5 linked regions of the Macaca fascicularis genome follow. The protein of the gene in region 2 interacts with the protein of the main gene of each other region in a pairwise test. Links are inferred from orthologs where the notes say so. Each region holds a gene or a part of one and is shown on either strand. Other genes may lie near its edges.

Evidence for each region.
Region 1: the proteins of WASHC3 (region 2) and HSBP1 interact in binary tests that used the Homo sapiens proteins (3 or more experiments, as listed by UniProt). The two-hybrid records come from large-scale screens. The link is inferred for Macaca fascicularis from reciprocal best matches to the Homo sapiens genes WASHC3 and HSBP1.
Region 3: the proteins of WASHC3 (region 2) and TXLNB interact in binary tests that used the Homo sapiens proteins (3 or more experiments, as listed by UniProt). The two-hybrid records come from large-scale screens. The link is inferred for Macaca fascicularis from reciprocal best matches to the Homo sapiens genes WASHC3 and TXLNB.
Region 4: the proteins of WASHC3 (region 2) and PBXIP1 interact in binary tests that used the Homo sapiens proteins (3 or more experiments, as listed by UniProt). The two-hybrid records come from large-scale screens. The link is inferred for Macaca fascicularis from reciprocal best matches to the Homo sapiens genes WASHC3 and PBXIP1.
Region 5: the proteins of WASHC3 (region 2) and SYCE1 interact in binary tests that used the Homo sapiens proteins (3 or more experiments, as listed by UniProt). The two-hybrid records come from large-scale screens. The link is inferred for Macaca fascicularis from reciprocal best matches to the Homo sapiens genes WASHC3 and SYCE1.

The regions. Positions count from the first base shown.
Region 1 is NC_088394.1:79,684,712-79,688,793, reverse strand, and holds the start of HSBP1 (heat shock factor-binding protein 1), read right to left. Parts: upstream 2,801-4,082; 5' UTR 2,720-2,800; coding exon 2,675-2,719; intron 2,117-2,674; coding exon 2,050-2,116; intron 1,482-2,049; coding exon 1,363-1,481; 3' UTR 1,361-1,362; intron 1-1,360. UniProt on the Homo sapiens protein: Negative regulator of the heat shock response. Negatively affects HSF1 DNA-binding activity. May have a role in the suppression of the activation of the stress response during the aging process.
Region 2 is NC_088385.1:109,034,788-109,038,287, forward strand, and holds part of WASHC3 (WASH complex subunit 3), read right to left. Parts: intron 417-3,500; coding exon 306-416; intron 1-305. UniProt on the Homo sapiens protein: Acts as a component of the WASH core complex that functions as a nucleation-promoting factor (NPF) at the surface of endosomes, where it recruits and activates the Arp2/3 complex to induce actin polymerization, playing a key role in the fission of tubules that serve as transport intermediates during endosome sorting.
Region 3 is NC_088378.1:43,337,108-43,341,113, forward strand, and holds the start of TXLNB (beta-taxilin), read right to left. Parts: upstream 2,801-4,006; 5' UTR 2,771-2,800; coding exon 2,341-2,770; intron 1-2,340. UniProt on the Homo sapiens protein: Promotes motor nerve regeneration. May be involved in intracellular vesicle traffic.
Region 4 is NC_088375.1:106,189,455-106,193,620, reverse strand, and holds the start of PBXIP1 (pre-B-cell leukemia transcription factor-interacting protein 1), read right to left. Parts: upstream 2,801-4,166; 5' UTR 2,725-2,800; intron 457-2,724; 5' UTR 421-456; coding exon 370-420; intron 279-369; exon of another isoform or gene 172-278; coding exon of another isoform or gene 151-171; intron 1-150. UniProt on the Homo sapiens protein: Regulator of pre-B-cell leukemia transcription factors (BPXs) function. Inhibits the binding of PBX1-HOX complex to DNA and blocks the transcriptional activity of E2A-PBX1.
Region 5 is NC_088383.1:142,662,260-142,666,505, forward strand, and holds the start of SYCE1 (synaptonemal complex central element protein 1), read right to left. Parts: upstream 2,801-4,246; 5' UTR 2,776-2,800; coding exon 2,703-2,775; intron 1-2,702. UniProt on the Homo sapiens protein: Major component of the transverse central element of synaptonemal complexes (SCS), formed between homologous chromosomes during meiotic prophase. Requires SYCP1 in order to be incorporated into the central element.

The sequences.
Region 1 (4,082 bases), on a different chromosome or scaffold from region 2:
TTTGAGACAGAGTCTTGCTCTATCACCCAGGCTGGAGTGCAGTAGCATGATCATGGCTCACTGCAAACTCTGCCTCCTGAGTTCAAAGGATTCTCCTGTCTCAGCCTGCCGAGTAGCTGGGATTACAGGCGTGCACCACCACGCCCATTTTTGTAGAGACAGGGTTTCACCATGTTGGCCAGGCTGGTCTCGAGCTCCTCACATCAAGTGATCTGCGCGCCTTTGCCTCCCAAAGTGCTGGAATTACAGGCATGAGCCACCACGTGCCAGCAACCGTTTTTTTTTTTGAGACGAGTCTCACTCTGTCGCCCAGGCTGGAGTGCAGTGGCGCGATCTCAACTGCAACCTCTGCCTCCCTGGGTAACATTCATTTTTATAGAGAATTAAAACGTTATACATGAAACATGAGAAAAGGGAGTTTAAAACTTATTTTTCACATATACAGAGGAAAAGGACTGTGCACTCAGTGCACCTATCTTGCTATTGGGTAGTTTTAATGGGCTTTCCTCTGACATCTGAAACTATTCAGTGGAAATTTAAATGAACTCCAGAGTAAAAGCTTAATGTGGCCACAATCTAGTTTACCTATGTCAAGTTACCAAGCAAGTCTCCAGAATTTAAGCCATTTAAGAAGGTGGTAATGTGGGCGACTTATCAGCGATCCCCTCCACCGCCCCCCGCCTCCCAAGAAAAGCAATGGAAAATCTTCCAGTGACAGGCTTTATAGGCCAACAAAAACCCCTTTATTAGCTGGAATGATAAAAACTCAGTGGTTATCTAATGTTAGCCAGTTGTCTTAACTAACAGTGACAGAAGTCTAATTAATAAAAACTGGGAAAATAAATTCAGTGTAAAGAATGAGTTTGGCATGAAAAATTCCAAAACATGAAGTCCACAGCGGGTAAAGAATACAGGGATGTTTGCTGGGATCATGGCTGGGAACTGATCTACAGAATGTCTGACTACATCAAAATTATACTTACAGGTTCTATTCTTTTAAGGGAAAAAAAAAAGGCCGGGCACGGTGGCTCACACCTGTAATCCCAGTACTTCCAGAGGCTGAGGTGGGCGGATCACTTGAGGTCAGAATTCGAGACCAGCCTGACCAACATGGAGAAACCCCATCTCTACTAAGAATACAAAATTAGCTGGGCGTCGTGGCGCAAGCCTGTAATCCCAGCTACTCGGGAGGCTGAGGCAGGAGAATCCCTTGAACCCAGGAGACAAAGGTTGTGGTGAGCCGAGATTGTGCCATTGCACTCCAGCCTGGGCAACAAGAGCAAAACTCCGTGTTAAAAAAAAAAAAAAACAAAAAGAAAAGAAAAAAAGAAACAACAAAAAAAATTGCCCCCTTCCTCACCTTCAACTCTTTTGTGTGGCAGGTATCTTGTTTTCACCTTCCAGTTCTTCCACCCCAGCCTGTGTCATGAGGTCTGCGATGTTCTTCTCCAGATCATCAATGCGACTACTCATATCATCAAGTGGTGAAGTTAAAGACAACGCGTGCCAACATCTCCTCATTGAGCCCTTTCCTTCCGTCCCTGTAGACTACGGCCTTAAACACAACGATTTTAGGGAAACAGGTCTTCCAATTTCCTTTAGACACTGTTACAGGCTGGTGGGTAAGAGTATAGGCCTCTGGGGCATGGCTACCCAGCATCGGTTTCCGGCCCTGACCCTTACTAGTGATGGAACCCCTAAACCTCAATTTATGCATTTGCTAAAGATGGTAACACTACAACCCACTCATAAGGTCATGCTGAGTATCAAAAGAAAGACACACACAAAAACGCTTAGTTCACAGTCCATGGTCAACCACACCAGCTATTAGGATTGGTAGATGTACGCTCCTTGAGCCAGGGATCTGTCTAGCTCAGCTGTACCCCGAGCTCTCGGCGCAGTCCTTCTTGGAAACACAGTACAATCCAAGCTCAAATTCTGTAAGTGACTGGCTGAAGCTGGCCTGAAAACTACTCATTTATCCCCACCGCTGCCCGGCAAAGAGACTCCAAAGGCCCACAGGAGGCCCACTACAGATAAAAAGGATATTTCTCCCAATGATCTGGTCAGACATGGTCTGAAATTTATCTTGCATCTGCTGCAGGAGTGTCTGCACCTAAGAAAAACCGAAACAAACAAACATGGTCCACACTGATCCTGAGACACCTTCCTGGGATCAGGACGTGAGCTCCGGTCTCGGGTTCCAGCCCCATTTCTGCCTCTGGGCAGCTGTGCCGCCTTCAGCAAGGATCTTCCTTCTCGGGGCTTCCGTTTTCCCACCTGTCTAATTAGACTGGTGGGCTGGGGAGGCCGCTGCGACTCAAAGTTCAGGGTCTTTAGGCTGTTTCTGCCGGGTTGGGGCACCCGGGGGTGTGTAAGGAGTCGAAGGGCGGGGAGGGTGTCAGAGGGAGGCAGGAGGGGCCCGGGGGGCGTTCGCCACAGGTGAATGGGGCTACCGGAGGGGGTCGGGCTTGGGAGCGCCCGCGGGGAGACGGGTCCGCACCGAGCGCCCAGGGGGTCAAGGTGGCCGGGAGCCTCGGCCAGAGACGCTTCCAGAAACGGGGCCTCGGCAGACGCCACGCGCGATCGCGGTGGGCGCGCCTCTGTCCAGCAGGGCCTGGCCCGGCGCCGCCCGAGAATGCCGCGGCCTCGGGCCCTCACAGCCATCCCTTACCACCGAGGTGAGGTCCTGCACGGTCTTGGGGTCAGTCTCGGCCATCTCCCCGACGCCCAGCTTGGCGGTTATGTCTCAGACCGTAACCTACACTTCCGTTTGTCGGCTCAGACGCCCCCGCCCGCTGCTTCTCGCGACGAGACTGGCTGCTCGCGGGACCGCGGGGCATTATGGGAGTAGTAGTTTCTCCCGCACCGGAAGGGCCTCGAGGCCGAGCGCTTCCGTTCCAAGGAGCGGCCCCACCCCACGCTCCCCGCCCTCTTTTGCATAGCCCCTCCCCTCCCCAGCGTGCCGTTGGTGGAGTGGGAAGTGAGACCAACTCAGAAATGGAGCAATAGAGGCAGGGAGTGGCCTTGGCCCCCATTCCAGGCTGTAGTCAGTCGAAAGACGGCTCTGGGTTTCTTTGGCCTGTCAGGACGAACTTACTGAACTTTTGTCCTTCAACAAGACCCACTATACCCTTGTAACTGCCCCCAAGTCAAGGAACATGAGCCCCCCGGAAGCCCTATGGCCCCTGTCCTGTCCTGTCCTGTCCTGTCATCTCCACCCTGAGGGTGGCCAGCGTCCGGAGTTTAACCCTGCAGGTTCATTGTGCCCGTCAGGTTCATATGAGGGGATTCAGACAGGAAGCTGTCCATCATGTCTGGCTTCTTGCACTCCACGCGATGCCTACTGTTGAGTGGGGAAGGCTTCCGGCATCAGGGTTAGACTGTGGGTTTGGGTGTTGAAGGAGGTGGGCACTGCTGAGGTGGAACCTCTAGTTCCAACCCCACAGATGGTCTTTAGGATTGGGTCTCAGGGCAAGGGGATAGGAGAGTCCTTGACTGCGGGCCTGGCAAGGAGATGTGTGAAAGTTCTGGAAACTTTCACACATCTCATTTAAGGACTGCTGTGTGTGAGGGTCAGCTCCAGTTTGAGTTTAGGTGGGGAGAGTCTGTAAGGGGTTAGACCTGTTACAGGAAAGGGTCCTGATCCAGACCCCAAGAGATGGGGTTCTTGGATCTCCTGCAAGAAAGAATTCAGGGCGAGTCTGTAAAGTGAAAGCAAGTTTAAGAAAGTGAAGGAATAAAAGAATGATTACTCCATAGACAGAGCCCCGAGGGCTGCTGGTTGCTCATTTTTATGGTTATTTCTTGATTGTATGCTAAACAAGGGGTGGGTGATTCATACCTCCCCTTTTTAGACCATATAGGGTAACTTCTTGATGTTGCCATGGCATTTGTATACTGTCATGGCGCTAATGGGAGTGTAGCAATGAGGACAAACAGGGTTCATTCTCATTGCCATCCTGGTTTTGGTGGGTTTTGGCCGGCTTCTTTACTGCAAGCTGTTTTATCAGCAAGGTCTTTATGACCTGTACCTTGTGCTGACCTCCTATCCCAATCCTGTGACTTACAATCCTTTTAAC
Region 2 (3,500 bases):
TCTACTTTCATTACTTTTTGTATCTAAGATTTGCATTGATAACTTTGTGTAATGCAAACAAATTTATATAAATCTATATTAAACTATGTTAATTTAAAGTGTGGGATCGATTCTAATTACAAAGATTTGACTTTTTTTTTTTTTTTTTTTTAAATCAGAGAGTTAAAATAGAAAGGAAGAGAATAGAAAACTTGGTTACTTGGTTTAGCAGTTTTCTCAAATTGAAAAAAATAACAGCAAAACCTCCAGGGTTAAGAATTTCAAATGAGGCTGCTACACAAAGAAGACAGACCAAATTAGCTTACCACTTGAACCATTTTGAGATATCTGGCATATCTTGGATCCTTGGCTACAGTTAAGATATTTTCTGCTGATACTTCACTTTCCTGTAGTCCAGAGTCTTGTGTACTGCTCTGCTGTAGAGAGTATTTTGTGTAAATCTTTAGACAATTTACAAAAGGGGTCCATCATGTTACTTAAAAGGAATGCTTCTTTCCATAATTCTAAGGCAATAAATTGCAGAAAAAAAAGCATCTCCCCCAATTTAAATACCAATAATTTAATGATGAGATATGTTTGCAAATATCTACAAATATTTAAATATCACTTCAGAGGAGGTTACACTTCAACACTATATTGGTTCCTTAAAACACAAGTATATTCATGCATTAAAATAAAAATTCTGTTTTACTTGTCCTCAGAGTGCTGATACAAAGCATGAATTATATATAGGTGGTTATACTATTTTAACAAAACTTTTAAGAAACCTAATAAAACTATCAACTGTTTATAAATTAATAATAAATTAACTGAGATAATGATGAATTGATTTCCTAGATATCTATAATCTACCTAATTGAACCCTTTATTTAGTAAATCATTTTATTCTAAGTGGACATGGCTCTTCTAACTTTTTAGAAAGCAGTTTTTGGAGAAGTTGTAGAAGAGAAGCCAGTTTGTCAGACAAAATTATCTGGTTTTATATATTTCAGCTACTGATGGAACTATTAATGGTAACATTGTCTACGGAGTGGTTAAAAGTCATAGTAAATACGACTTGTAATAAAGAATCTTGGGGAATGGTCTTTTTAGATAAAAATGCCATTGTTATACAGGCAGTCTTCACTTTGCATGGTACCATGTTACTGAAACTTGTGCATATCAGAACCATATCCTTGCTTAAATGCAAAACTAGAACTGCCTGTATACAGTACTTGATTTTTCTATCAAACCAAACATTTAGAAAAAGCTTACTTTTGTGAATCTCTCTCATTATCTGTATATAAGCATTAAGAAGAATTTCCTTAGAAGAAATCAATTTTATGTCTATTGTTCATGCTGAAATGTAGATAAATCCATATCTTTATATCTTCACAGTCTTTAGACTATGAATGTGAATTACATATTGAAGTTTTTCCTCAGATAATTCAAATATAAATTAAATCTGTTGAAAATTCCAAAGCAAATAAAAACATCCAAAAGTCCTTTAGGTTTCTTCTGTTACATGATATTGCTAAGTTTTACAAAAGTCACTGTGTGTGTGTGTGTGTGTGTATATATATGTGTGTGTGTGTATATATATATTCATCTATAATATACATAAATACAAAAATTCCAAAACACTGTTAATTAAATAAAAAATTAAAACAATAACCAAATATGTTTTTTAACAATTTATGGAAATTAAACTCATATATATAATAGCAAAATGGTGCAAATGAGAACTATATCCTGGCCAGATATCAACTCTCAGTCGTTAACGTTTGCGTAATAACCAAGACCTCAACAAGGTTTAATTATGAAACACCTTTGCTATCTGAATGATCCATTAAATCCTCTATCATATCTCTCAACTGTCCTTCATTTATTCTCAAATCAAACTCACTCTGCACAATTGGATATTCTATTGTGAATAATGATGAAATCTGAACCATGAAATTAAAGTTGCAGAAAAATCAGTAGACAAACTTTGGGTCTTTGACTCATGTATAGATTAGAGAGAGTGATAAATAGATGATTTTTTTAAAAAGTGCACTATTCCCCTTTATCTGTTAATTGAGTGAACTATAATGTCAATGAAAACTCTAGATTAAGCAATACTTAAGCCCACTTCAAAATATTTTGTATAAAATATACCAGTTGATAACAACGAAGAAATGAGAAGTTGATGTGAATATTAAGAACATGCTGAGCAGTTATTTTATTAAGCTAATCAACACACAACTTTATCACAGTATTTCAAACTTTGGAAGCCAAAAGAACTTCATAAACCCTCTAAATAAATACATAAACATTTTTAAATAAAATTGCCAGAGATATACCAGGTTATTCTGAATTTGCAAAGCAAATTAAGAAATTCAGCTGTGATTACTGGTAATCAATTTTTTGGGACATTAAATATGTGAGGACCAACACAACTGCATAAAAATTTTAAAGGGCATACTATAGATGGCATTCATAATAGCACCTGGAAAAATTAATAAAGTTAGACAGGTATACTTAAAAATATTATAGAAATATATGACTGCTCTATCCACCACATAATAACTACTAGATAGAGTGGAAATATTTTCTTGGTATGCTTTGTTTTAGAAAGAGGATAGTCATATTTAATTGAGAGAATATAAAGTTAAACTCCTCTATAACATCTGGATATCCTCTTGCATTTTATATATTTGAGTGGCCAGGATAATGAAATTTGCTATATTAAATAAATGGATGTTAAATTTTATAATATCTAATTAAGTAAATGATCATCTAATTTATTACCCAAATATATACTATATTCTAAATATATGGCTTTTCCTACAGGGCCTCATACCACATATCCTCAATATGTTTAATAAATTGAACACAGGTACTGAAAACAGAGTAGTGTAGTGTAGTATAGTGTAGTGTAGCAGGTAAGTGCTAGGGCTCTTGGCACCAGACTGTCTGGGTTAAAATTCTAATTCTTACATTACTTTTCGACCTTCAGCAAGTTACTTAACCTCTATATACCTCATTTGACCCATCTATAAAGTAAGATTGATAATATGGTGCTTATATTATAGGGCTGTTGTAAAGATTAAATTCGTTTATGAAAGGCACTTAGAAACATGCATGCCTTGGTACACAGAAAGCACTCTTGAAGTGTTAGCTGTTATCATCATTGTCAACATCATCGTGATCTAAAAAATATCCTGTGAAAAGTGCCTCCAGGTACAAAGGCAGAATTCCATTATAAGTCTATTTGTTTAATTTGTTTATTATTACTTTGGTAGGCCACCACTTTGATAATTATTTTGTTTTAGATTTTAATACCTCGCTAAGATACACTAGAGATTGTTCTCAAAAAACAAATAATTTTTATTTTTTGAAATAAAAAGTAATAGAAAATTGAAATTCATACAGAAGCATAAGTAAATGTTAAGATCTAAGAGCCAAATGTAAAGTATAGCTTTTATTAGGATGCTGATTCAAAGGAATCAACTTCAGAAACACAGTTTTTAGACAACTGG
Region 3 (4,006 bases), on a different chromosome or scaffold from region 2:
GTTGCTTACCTCTGGGATAAGGTTTTGTATATTGTCTTATGGAAACTTGAATAATGACTAGCTTTGTAAAGGGACGCATTTGAGATGTTTGGTCAGAGAAGAAAAAATTGCTCTGTAACACAGAGCAATTTTATTATGTTTTTCCATGTTCCAAAACACTAGAGTGATTCCAACCCTGCACTTTGGAACTTGAAGATACTTTAAAGTTATTATCTGGGTTCTTTTAATTTTATACTAGTTGGGTCAAGTATGCTATCTCAATGTGTCATTCAGCCCTTCTTGAAAGCATTGTAGCAATGGGTTTTAGCATCATAGCGGTATCTGTAGGAAAACAGCCCATTGCATGGCAAGAGTGATGCCATCTTAAAGCAAACCTGCCACGATGACCAATGTTTGACTCCTCCATACCAAGGTGTTCTGCAGCAGGGATCTCCAACCCTGTCTACCAGTCCATGGCCTGTTAGGAACTGGACTGCACAGCAGGAGATGAGTGGCAGGCAACAGAGCAAAGCTTCATCTGTATTTACAGCTGCTCCCCATCACTCACATTACCACCTGAGCTCCACCTCCTGTCAGATCAGTGGTGGCATTAGATTCTCATAGGAGCATGAACCCTATTGTGAACTGCGCATGCGAGGGATGTAGGTTGCACACTCCCTGTGAGAATCTAATGCCTGATGATCTGTCACTGTCTCCCATCACCCCCAGATGGGACCGTCTAGTTGCAGGAAAACAAGCTCAGGGCTCCTACTGATTCTACATTATGGTGAGTTGTATAATGATTTCATTATATATTACAATGTAATAATAATAGAAATAAAGTGCACAATAAATGTAATGCGCTTGAATCATCCTGAAACTGTCCCTCCCCAGTCCATGGAAAAATTGTCTTCCCTGGTGCCATAAAGGTTGACTGCTGTTCTGCAGCAAGGTCTTTAAACAATGCCTGTAACATAGATAATCCCTCAGAAAGATGCTTATCTAATGTTCCCAGTGGTCATGACTTTTGGCAAGGAAGTCTGAGATGTGACCAGCTGCACATGACTTTACCTAAAAGCTTGCTATGTAAAGGACACTTTCTGGAGAGTGGGTGCAGGGATCCACTGTCTCACTGCTGCCCAAGACAGCACTACTGTTTGTAAGCCCCTATTAAATATTTCTTTCTGAGAAAGTGGATTTGTCAGCTTCTGCTTTTGGCCTTCAGCTCCCTTGGTCTTTGTGAGTAGGTTTGTATATACCTGCTCACTGCAGAAAAATATTCTACTCCAGTTTGGGATATTTTTGGGTTTACAGATAATCTGGTTACTGGAGGTTGAACCCAGTTCTGACACCAACGCTTATGATCTTTCACTCTACCACACAGTCTTCCGGAAACAAATAAGATGTGGTCTCTGCCCTTGATAGATTCTCCAACTAGCATGGGAGATGGGTTATAAACAAATGACTTGCTGCAGAAAATTTAATGGGAAACTAAGGAAGGTGATGCTGCCTCTACCTGGGCGTATCAGGGAAAGTATCACACAGGAGTGGGTATTTGTAGTGAGTGTTTCCACCAGGAAAGATAAGCAGAGGGACTTTCCTATGTACAGTAACATGCTTTCACTCATAGTTTAAAAAATTAACATTCTCACCCTTTTTTCACAGCCATCGTTGGTGTTACCAATCTCCCGTGCTCTCCTAAAAAATTTTCCTGTTCCTGTTTTTGCACTTCTCCTATAGAATTAATTTACGTGTCTTCTGTTTTCTCTATACTTAGAGCTCCTTGACCAAAGGGCCATGACTTATTTACCTTTGTGCACCTAGCACAGTGCCTTACAAAGACTAGGTGTTAATATACAGTCATTGGGCACTTGAGGATGGGTAAAGATTTCTAGGTAAAGAAACTAGGATGGGCACAGGCCTTGTGGGAGATGGAGCATAGCATGTTCAAAGGCCTGAAAGACAAGATCAGAATGACTAGCTATTAGGCAGTAGTGGTGGTGGTAGTAATAGAAGCAGAGTGTTCAGGAAGGTGATGTTGTAGGGTAGAGTAATCTGAGATAAAACTGGGACTGGTTGGAGTTAGATCATTAGGATCTTAGAGAACATGTTAAAGATTTTGGTCTTCATCCTAAGAGCAGTAGGAAGCCATGCAACAGAGGGTCAATGGGTAACAGACTGAAAAGTTCACCTGAGCTGTATTGAGGGGAAAGGGCTGGGGACAAATACAGCAAGGGAAAATGTAGAAGGCTATCACAGTAATTCAAATATTAGATGTGGCTTTTAGTGAAGGTTGGAGGAAGTGCCCCTTTTTCAGGAATACTATACAGAAAAGTCATATATTTGAGTATAACTACTTGCCTAATCCTTTTAGGATTTTCTTTTCCAATTTTTGCTCTTTATTGCTGACAGGCTCTTTGACAGTGGGTGGCTCTCCAGAAGCAACAGGTTCTCTTCCAGCCTCTTCAGTTGTTTCCTCACAGTCCCCATCCTCATTGTCAGGTGATTCCGCATTCTCAGGCTGCTCACTAGCCCTGGCAGTGAGACCCATAAGTTTCCCTGCTGTGCTGGCAGCAGACCCATAAGTGTTAATGATGTCTTCCAGCTGTCGATTCAGCTCTTCAGAGATATCGGGGTGCACATCTGCCTCTTTCTCCGGTGGCTGGACTGGGGTTGAAGAATCCTGACCATCTTCCTTCTCCAGGCCATTGTGACGGGGTAATGATGAACTGTCCCCTGGAGGTGTTGACTGTTGTTCCGCTGAGAGCTGTTCAGCGTTATTAGCCTCCATCTTGGACTGGTATCTAGTGGTAAGCACATTAGGCTTTACATAGCTAACCTAGATGCTACATATCAATGCTTCATTTCAATGGTAAGGATATCCCCCAAGTGAATGCCAACTAATTATGGTCTCTCACATAGAGTGAATGTCCTTTCACAAACCATTGATGTTACAATTATTAAAGTAGGAACACTGAAAAGTTGTTTTTCCAAATCAAGTCACACTACTGGCATATTTTTGGTTTTGCTCTTCACTTTCAACAGTATTTCTTATTATTCACATTAAGAAAGTAATTCATGCTATTGTTTCTTTGTGGCCTTATTTGTCATTTTGCTTACACTAGTCAGTTTGTGTTGTCATTTTCCTGTATAGTTCTATATAGATTAACAATCACTGGAGGTACATGACTGTGTGTATTTAAAATGTTTAAATCTAAAATGGCATTAGTTTTCTTTCAAAGTTAAAATATTTAATAGAAGAGCCATCGAATTTATTTAAATGACTCATAACAATAACATCTCTAAGCTCTATTTGATCCATAAATCAGTATTTTGCTTAGTATGAATATTTTGATGTAAATGCATTATTACACTCGATACAGGAGACATTTCTCACTTTTCCGGCATTTTCTTTTTCAGATAAGCAACACGAATGCTTTTTCTGAGGCTCAAACTGGCATCATTTTTCAATTAAGACAGGGAATGAGGAAAGGTATAAATAAATAAACCAAGTAGTATAGAAACACAGGCCGGGTGCGGTGGCTCATATCTGTTATCCCAGCACTTTAGGAGGCCGAGGCGGGTGAATCACTTGAGGTCAAGAGACCAGCCTGGCCAACATGGTGAAACCCCGTCTCTACTAAAAATACAAAAATTAGCCGGATATGGTGGCCGGCACCCGTAGTCCCAGCTACTTGGGAGGCTGAGGTATCAGAATTGCTTGAACCGGGAGGCGGAGGTTGTAGTGAGCCAAGATTGCACCACTAAACTCCAGCCTGAGCGACAGAGCAAGACTTTGTCTCAAAAACAAAACAAAAGCATGATGCTGCTTATAACAACAATTCCTTAAGTTTCTATAATACTCTTTTATTCCAATATATAAACCAACATTTTAAAAGAGAAAAACAGATTACAACTTTCTCTTCGAAGTCAGGAAGCTCTAGAAAAACAATAATTTTTAAGAAGTAGCAATGTTTCATAAACGAGGAGGAGACCAACTCGAGAAATAATTCAGCAATAATAAGGG
Region 4 (4,166 bases), on a different chromosome or scaffold from region 2:
TCACTCCAACACTGGCTCCAACCCACGTCTCCACATCACCCATGGGTGTCCCACAGTCTCCCCCAGCATGGCTTTCCCCACTATCGCCTCGGGACCTTTGTTCACATTGGTCTCTCCATTCGAAATCCCTCCCTACTTGTCTCAGCTTACCGAACTGGTCCCTTCTTTCATAGCATGGTCCAAGTGCCAACACTTGAGCCCTGGGGCCCGATCTCCTTCTTCCTGCTACTGGAGTTCCTCTAACAGCCAGCAGGAAGTGATGCAGGTGACCATCAGGACTAAGGAAAAGGACCCACCAAGAAAGAAGCCCAGCACTGCAGAAACACCCCCCAAGCCTGCCCCCATGGTTCCCAGGCCTGCTCTTCATACCTCGGAGCCAGCAAGCACCCAGCTATTATCAGAGTCTGGGCAGGAGGCCATAGTTGCTGAGGTCCCTGAGGCTGCTGTGGCTGCCACCTGCAGAAGAAAGCTCTCTTAAGGATGGGTGCTCCTTTCAGGAGGGGCAGGATGCAGAAAGCAGCCTTGGCTGGGTTCCAAGGTTCAAGTGCTGGGCAGCAGCCTCCAGAACCAAGCCTGGTTCCAGTCCTTCTCTCCCTGATACCCCAACTCTTCTAAGCAGTATTTGCCTTGCAAATCAGAATCTGCCAACAGCCACAGAGAAGCCAGCCTCTTCCGGGGACCAACAGGGCCTTGGAAAACTGAACTGACCTTGAAAGGTCAAAGTAGCATAGGCTGGAAAGGCTCTGGGGAATTCCAGTCCAGCCCCCTGACATTTTAGTCAGGGAAGATTAAGCCCAGCAAGGTTGACAGACTTAACTTGCCAATAAGAAGCCTTGCCCTCCCTTCCCAACACCAGGTTCCTACACAATCACTACCTTCTCCCCCAGGACCTGCAAAGGAAGACTTGATGGCCTCTTTCAGCCCTAAATGTCCCACCACTTGCCCAGCATAAGTCCTTGGTATGGTCTAGTTCAATGGTTCTCAATCTTGGTTGCACATTGGAATCACCTAAGATTTTGATTCAATTGAGTTGGGGTGTAGGCCCAGGCGTGGGTCTTTTTAAAAACCTCTCAAATGATTCTCATGCGCACCCAGGGTTGAGAACCACTGGCATAGCTTAGATCCACCTGGATGCACCTTTTATGTCTCCTCATCACTCTCAGCTCCATCATAAATTCTGTTTACCTTCTTAGTAATCGCCAGAGTTTGGTGTTAGGGAACTTGAAGGTGACTGGGAAAATGGATTTATGGCAACTATCATGTATATATACACCACTTTATAGCTTGCAAAAGATAGACAAAAATCAGGGCTATGGTCCTGCACCTCGTTAATCTGCTCTGACTTGACAGGGACAGGGGAGGGAATCACTCCAGTTTCCAAAGCCTGACTGACACAAAGCAGAGTAAGAAGAGAGGGATCCGCCCCTTCATCCAAGGCTAAGACAGTTCCCTCAGGCAGCTCCTGTTGGGACCAGGCATAAAGGTGGAAGGATAGATGAGCTGACCTCTCAAGAGTACTGGATTGTGATCCTTCAGAAGAGGATAAATGACTGCTTCCCCAGCACTTTATAAGGAAACTCAGGAAAAGGGAAGTGAGGCTGGGACAGTACGGCAGTTCTACCTTCGAAACCAACCACCTTATCCCCTTCTGTTTGAGCTGTTTTCAAGTCCCACGTGGTGCCCTAAATAACCTCCTGTGGCTCCTGCCAGTCAAGATCCAAGTCCTGGATAGGTCTTTCCCAATGCCCATCCTCCCAGACACATGCACCCATCCCACACAGAGACAGGAAAATGGCTGTAATGACTTCCCTGTACCAAGTCCAAAAGGACACCCTGGCATGCATCTCTAAGTATCCATAGAGCCATGGCTGTTCAGCCTTCCGCTTGTGGCTCCGCCCCCGCCGTTGTCATCATCTCCCCATCCCCAGTTGCTGACTGTTAACAGGTGGTGGCAGGAAGGAAGTGGCAGCAGCTTGGGCTGAAGTCCCTGTTTATGCCTAGCTGTGTGTACAGTCTGCTCAGGTCCTCTAGAACCAGGCACCATGGCAACCACAGTGATGTCAGACCCACTGTCTCCATGGAAACCAGCAAAGATATTTGGGTCAACAAAACAAATACTTATAAGACCCAAATAGGAGACACTCTGAAGCTCCTATACTCTGGGTCCCAAACCCTGATATCTCTCTCTTGGTTAGGTTAACCCAGGATTCAAAAAAATACCCCTCTTCTCCCAAGCCAGCATCTCACTGCCTTATTAGGAAGTTCCTTCTGCTGTCTAATCTCCACCCTTCCCTGCTGTGTTTCCAGATCTTTTTCTTTTCATCGACCTTCTGGAAGAAAACCCACCTCCACTCCCTCCCCCCACCCCCTTCTTTTCATTCAGGCAGGATTCAACAAACACCTCCTGTAAGGATTATGACAGAGACTTCTGCTATTTCTAAAAAACAGCTAAAGGGGGAGCTCTCCCACTCAGTACAAAGCTAGGAAGTCTCGTCTCTAGTTAATTTAAACTCTTCTAACAGTTGCGCCTCCAAACCTCTAAAGCAAAGGATCTAGGGCCACTTGCCTGGGGTTCCTGTTTTGTTAGTGTCGGCACCTGGCCCTCCTCCCCCAGCCCGGAAATCAAAAGCAGCTCATTCCTTCTAGATTAGTTCCGCCTTCCCTTTTCCTTATTCCACCCCCGTCACAGGGAATCTGTGGACCCCTTCCCAGCTAAGGCATTACCTGACCCAGCTCTTGCTTCGGTCTTCAGCTTAACTTGTTGCTGGCTTTCCTTCGTTTGCAGCCCGAGAAGAGAATCATGTGACCAGAAACTGACCAATGAAAAGTCAACATCCCCAAGGGGGCGGAAACTTTTGGCCAATAAGAGAAGGACTTGAGAGTCAGGGGAGGGGAAGGGAGGTCTAGCGACAGGGCCCCTAAACTTGAGCTTACCGGGTGGACGACCGAGGTCTCAGCTAACTGTATCCTGAGTTTCCTGCCCTTCTTTCCCAGTGTCTAAACAGTTTCTAGAGGGAACCCCCTCCCCCACAAACTGAGAGAAAGGCAGAGGGTGCAGTCTTCTGAGATGACGAAGGGGCCAGGTTGGTCCCCGGATAGACAGAGACAGCTGTGAGATGGGGGAAGGGAGAGAGACAGGTCGCAAATCCAGGGTGTGGAAATAGCCCTCCTGCCGTTCTCCCCAATCTGCTCCAGCACAGACTGCTTAAAAGATGCCATGGCTACTTTTAAAAGAACTGTTGGGGGACGGGAACGATCTGAAAAACATCCCAAAATGAAATTTGCTGTAACAGGAGTAGCCCCTCCCCTCACCCTTAGAGCTACACTTGCTCCCTAACCCAAACAACTGGGAGGTGGGTGGGGTGCTAAACCCAGAAGAGCTCAAGCACTTGTCTTCCAGAGGCTTTGGTGCCAAATCCTCCTGGCTCCAGGCCTGGACCAGGAATATGCTCAGAAAGGAAACTCAGTTTCTCACAGCTGAGACACAGGGGGATGGGCGGGGAAACACAGGCCTCCCTTGGCTCAGCAGCTTATACCAGGGTCAGTTCAGGGGCCAGATCTGCCATTCCCACTCCCAGGGACCCTGGGGAGTATACTTATCCTCAACCCCTAAGCACCCTACCCAGCAGTGACAGTGGCTCATTCCAGCCTTTTCACACAGCAACAGCAAGGAGTCCTTGTCTGGGATTTTAGTCATTTTATTAATCCAACAGTACAAAAGACCCCCCACCACCACCGCATTCTGCCATCACTTTCTTCCAAAAAGTAGTGGAGTGAGAGGGCGAGAGGGAGCAGATCCAGCAAAGACACTCCCCCAGGAGCCATTTTACAAAATGCGGAGCGGGGGAAGACAACACAAAAATAGCAACAGATAAATGGGGCAAACAGAACCACAAACACAAGAGGTGAGCAGCGGGGTGGCGGGCGGGGGGGGGGTTGCCATCTACACCGTTTTAGTGTGGAGGACACTGGGAACGATGCCCAGAGGCTGCTTTCTCCTCCCGGCCTCAAAGGTTGTCAGCTCCACCAGAGCAAGGTCTTCTCTCCTCATGCCAGGAACTGAGAGATGTGGGGGTAGGGGACCACTAGGTCTTTGCCACTATACCTCGAGCCGGGGAACCCCTGACTTCTCTGAGGAGGGCCTGCTTTCCCCACGCACAGAGGAA
Region 5 (4,246 bases), on a different chromosome or scaffold from region 2:
ATCCATGTGGTCTAGCCTCATAATAATTCTCCCTTTTTGGACACCCATGATTCAGTGTGGCCTCTTCCCAGAGCTCAGAGATCCAGTTAAAAGATAGGTGGTCACTATCTAAATAAAACTGGTCTCCTGTGATCCGACCACCTCCCACCAGGCCCCACCTTCAACACTGGGGATTACAATTCAACATGAGATTTGGGTGAGGACACAGATTCAAACCATATCACAGGCCAAGGCCGAGGCATGGTTGAGAAGGCTCAGAGGCACCTGACCAAAGTTTGTCACAATTTTGATCGACATTACCAAATTACCCTCCACTGATGTATACAAGATGCCCAGTTTTTCATTTTTACCAACCACCTGTGTTTCCAAATGTGTTCATCTTTGTCAACCAGATATGCAAAATCAAGGTGTCTCCTTACAAACTCTCTGATAGTAAATATCAAAAGTTTGGGTGCATCTTCTTTTCTAAGACTATGTCCTAAGTAATTCTGATATGGATAATGCGCAAGGTGTTCATCACTATATTGTTTATAATAGTAAAAAACTGGAAGAAGCCTAAATATGTCTTAGGGAATTTGTTAAATAAATTATAGCACATACACAGGATAAATCATTTACAGCCATTAAAAATCATGGATACATGCATAAGGCCAGGCTCAGTAGTTCACATCCATAATCCCAGCACTTTTGGGAGGCTGAGGCAGGAGGACTGCTTGAGCATAGGAGTTCAAGAGCAGCCTGAGCAATGCAGCAAAACCCCATTTCTACAAATAACAAATTTAAAAATATTATCTGGGAGTGGTGACATGCACCTGTGATTGCAGCTACTTAAGAGGCTAAGGTGGGAGAATTGCTTGAGGCCAGGAAGTCAAGGCTGCAGTGAGCAGTGATTGTAACACTGCACTCCCGCCTGAGCAACAGAGCACAATCTTGTCTCAAAAAAAAAAAAAAAAAAAAAAAAAAAAAAAAAAAATCAAGCATAGAGTTTTGTGAAATGCTTATTTTTGAGTTTATGGAGTCCCCTCATTTTGGTCCCACCCGAAATCTTACACAAATCACTGCTCATAAATTTATGAATTAAGTTTTACATTATTCAAGTAATTGGCATGTGTGAAAAAGCATGAAGAAAAAATTGAAACACAAACATTCGTTTTCCCCAGTCATTCCCCTTTATAGTAATAACTGCAGCCAGTTAGATGGAGACTAACAGACCTTTTACTAAAATGTATCTAGTGTCACTGATCCTAGATAACATCCCGACTAAAACTGGAATCTTGTCCTTTAACTTTCTTCTGTAGCTGGTCACTATAGACTGAATGTTTGTGCCCCCATCCATAATTCGTATGTTGAAATCCTAATCCCTTAGTGTGACTGCATTAGGAGGTGGGGCCTTTGGGAGGTGATTAGGTCATGAGAGTAGGGCCCTCAGCAATGGGATTAGTGCCCTTATAAAACCAGAGAGGCCGGCAGCAACTTCCCCCATATGAGGACAAAATGAGAAGACAGAAGTCTACAACCAGGAAGCAGGCCCCCACCAGACGCTGCATTGCACCTTGATCTTGAACTTCTAGCCTCGAAAACTGTGAGAAATAATGGCATTTCTGTTGTAGCAGTTTGAACGAAGGCACAAGCAACGTTGGTTAAACCTTATCTAAATATACTAGGTTATGTGAGGAACATGGAGCTGTGATACTGAAAGGCTACCACAGTGGCGGGCCAGTAGGTGCTTAATGAAAGGGATACGTTTGCGTCTGTCCTGTTTACTTGCTTTGTCCTTCACTGGGGCTTTCACTGTGCCACATCTCACTGTAGGGATGCTTTCTGTGCCAAGCTTGTTTCAGTATTCAAACCTTCATTTTGTAAGAACACGACAGAGCACCTGCCATGATATTCACGCAGGTAGGGCTGGAGGCAGCCACCGTGGCGTTTGTTAATTGCAGCGTTTTAACTCAGGGGGGACACATGAGCTCAGGACAGAGTGACAAGTTGAGTGACAGCAGGAGGGACGTCACCGTACAATTCTCTCCACTTTTGTGTAAGTTTGAAAATTCTCCCAAAACACCCAGAGGTACACAGCGTCCTGAAGTGGAAACGGCCAGGACAGTGTTCTTTCTCTTTGTTGGGCTGCAATTTCGGGACTTCTGTACAACTCTGACCAGCTGCCTTGTCCCTCCCTTCCCAGGGTGAGGTAGGAGCCTCTACGGCAGGTCGGGGTCGGGGAGAAACAAACGGGAGATCTGCGGGGAGTCGGCCTCCCCCGGCTCCCCGGGGCGTCGGGATGCTGGGTGGGGGAACCCACTGTCAAGAACCAGGTTAGTGCGACCGGGAAATCTGGACACTTGCTGGTTCTAGAAAGAGGAGTGTGGAATTAGGAATTCCCTTGGGATTGGGAGCGTCAGGAAAATGTCCTTTTTGTTTTAAGAGGTGTGTATGAAAAGTCTGTGGAACGACAGGATGTCTTTTGACTAATTACCTAAACCAAAATTGGAGCAACCACGATAAAGGTTCAATGCTTTAAGACGAAGTGAGGGGTGTGCGGGCCAGCACTCCCTCATCTTGGCGGAAAGTTTTCTGAAGAAACCCGCTAAGTCTCAGTCAGCACCATCAGGACTGACAGGAAGTAGTCGCCACCCGCGCCCCAACCCTGCCCCGCCTCGGCGAGGTCAGACCCTCACGCACAGTTCCCTGCCTCCCTCCACTACCTTCGGCCTTCTCAGCCCCGTCCATGGCTCCGGCGGTGGGCTCGGCCTTCGACGCCAGGGACCTCCCCGCCATTTCCTCTCAGCTCAGCAGCGCGGGTGGCTTGGGAGGAAGCCTCCAGTGGTGATTGGAGCAACCCCTGCAGGGGGCGGGACTCCAGGCAGCGCGCCTGCGCAATGCACCCCCGCGCGCGCTCTGGATATGTGAAGTAATGTTCGGCCGGCCTGCCTGGCAGCTAGTGCGCATGCGTAAAGGCCCGAGGGTTACAAAGCCCGCGAGGGCCACGTCCGGCCGTCCAGGCTCGCGATTGGCCCGGTTCTGGGTGCTCCCGCGCATGTGTGCTGGCCTCCGAGGGGGGCCGGCCCTGGTTCTGGAGGCCCTCACCACGAGCGACCAGTGCGCGTGTGCCACGCAGCAACTGCCTGTGAAATGTGCGTGTCTCACGGACGACTCCACGAGGCGCCATGGCCCCGGCAACCTCACGGGGTCGCGGCTCTGCTTGGCCACGCCACCGCGGGAGTGCACGGACCCCAGCAAGTGACGCGTCTGTGGCAGCCCCCGCGGGGCCCGCTGTTCCCGCTGGCGCAGAGGAGCGCAGCCTGCCCCTAGGCCGCGTTCCCGTGAGCTCCATGCCCACAGCGGCCCATGCCGGCCACAAGCCCACGGTCCCTTCTGCACGGGCCCTGCCACGCTGGGGCCACCGGGGAGGCCTGGAGGGCACTGGGAGGAGGGAGGAGGAGCCGAGGCTTTCGGGAGAACCAGCCCTTCACCGGCCAGGGGAGGCTGCGATGCACCGTGACTGGTTGTGAAGAACCAACAGAAGAACTTCCCGTGCGGGTGAGTGGGAGACACCAGAACACCCGCCCGTCCTAAATACAAAGCCTCGAATCCCAACCTATAAAAGGTTACCTTAGGGTTTTGGGTTAGGGCTACAGGTTAGAGTTAGGGATAAAGGTTAGAGTTGGGGTAGAGTTAGGGTTTGGGTTAGGGTTTAGGGGTTAGAAGTTCGTTTTAGGGTTGGGGTGGGGTTAGGGTTTGGGGTTAGCGTTAGGGATGGGGAAGGATTAGGGGTAGGGTTAGGGTTGGTCGAGGGTTGGGGTAGGGGTAGCATTTAGGGTCAGGGTTTAATCGTTAGGGTCAGGGTTTAATGGTTAGGATCAGGGTTTTAGGGTTGGGGTTAGGATGTTAGGGTTAGGGTTTGGGGTTAGGGTTTCGAGGATAGAAGATTAGGGTCAGGGTTAGGGGTTAGGGTTTGGGTGTTAGGCTAAGGATTGTTAGGGTTAGAGGTTAGTGTTTTAGAGTAGGTGTTAGGGTTAGGTGTTGGTTTTGGGGTTAGGGTTAGGGGTTACGGTTTAGGGTAAGGGGTTAGGTTTAAAGGTTAGGGTTAGTGTTAGGAGTTACAGTTGGGTTAAGGCTTAGTGTAGGGGTAGGGCTAGGTTAGTGCTTAAGTTTAGCGTTGTTATGGTTAGGTTTAGCTTCAGGGGTTAGGGGTTAGGGGTAGCAGTAGGGTTAGGGGTTAGGGTTTGTGGTTTCAGTTTAGCTTAGG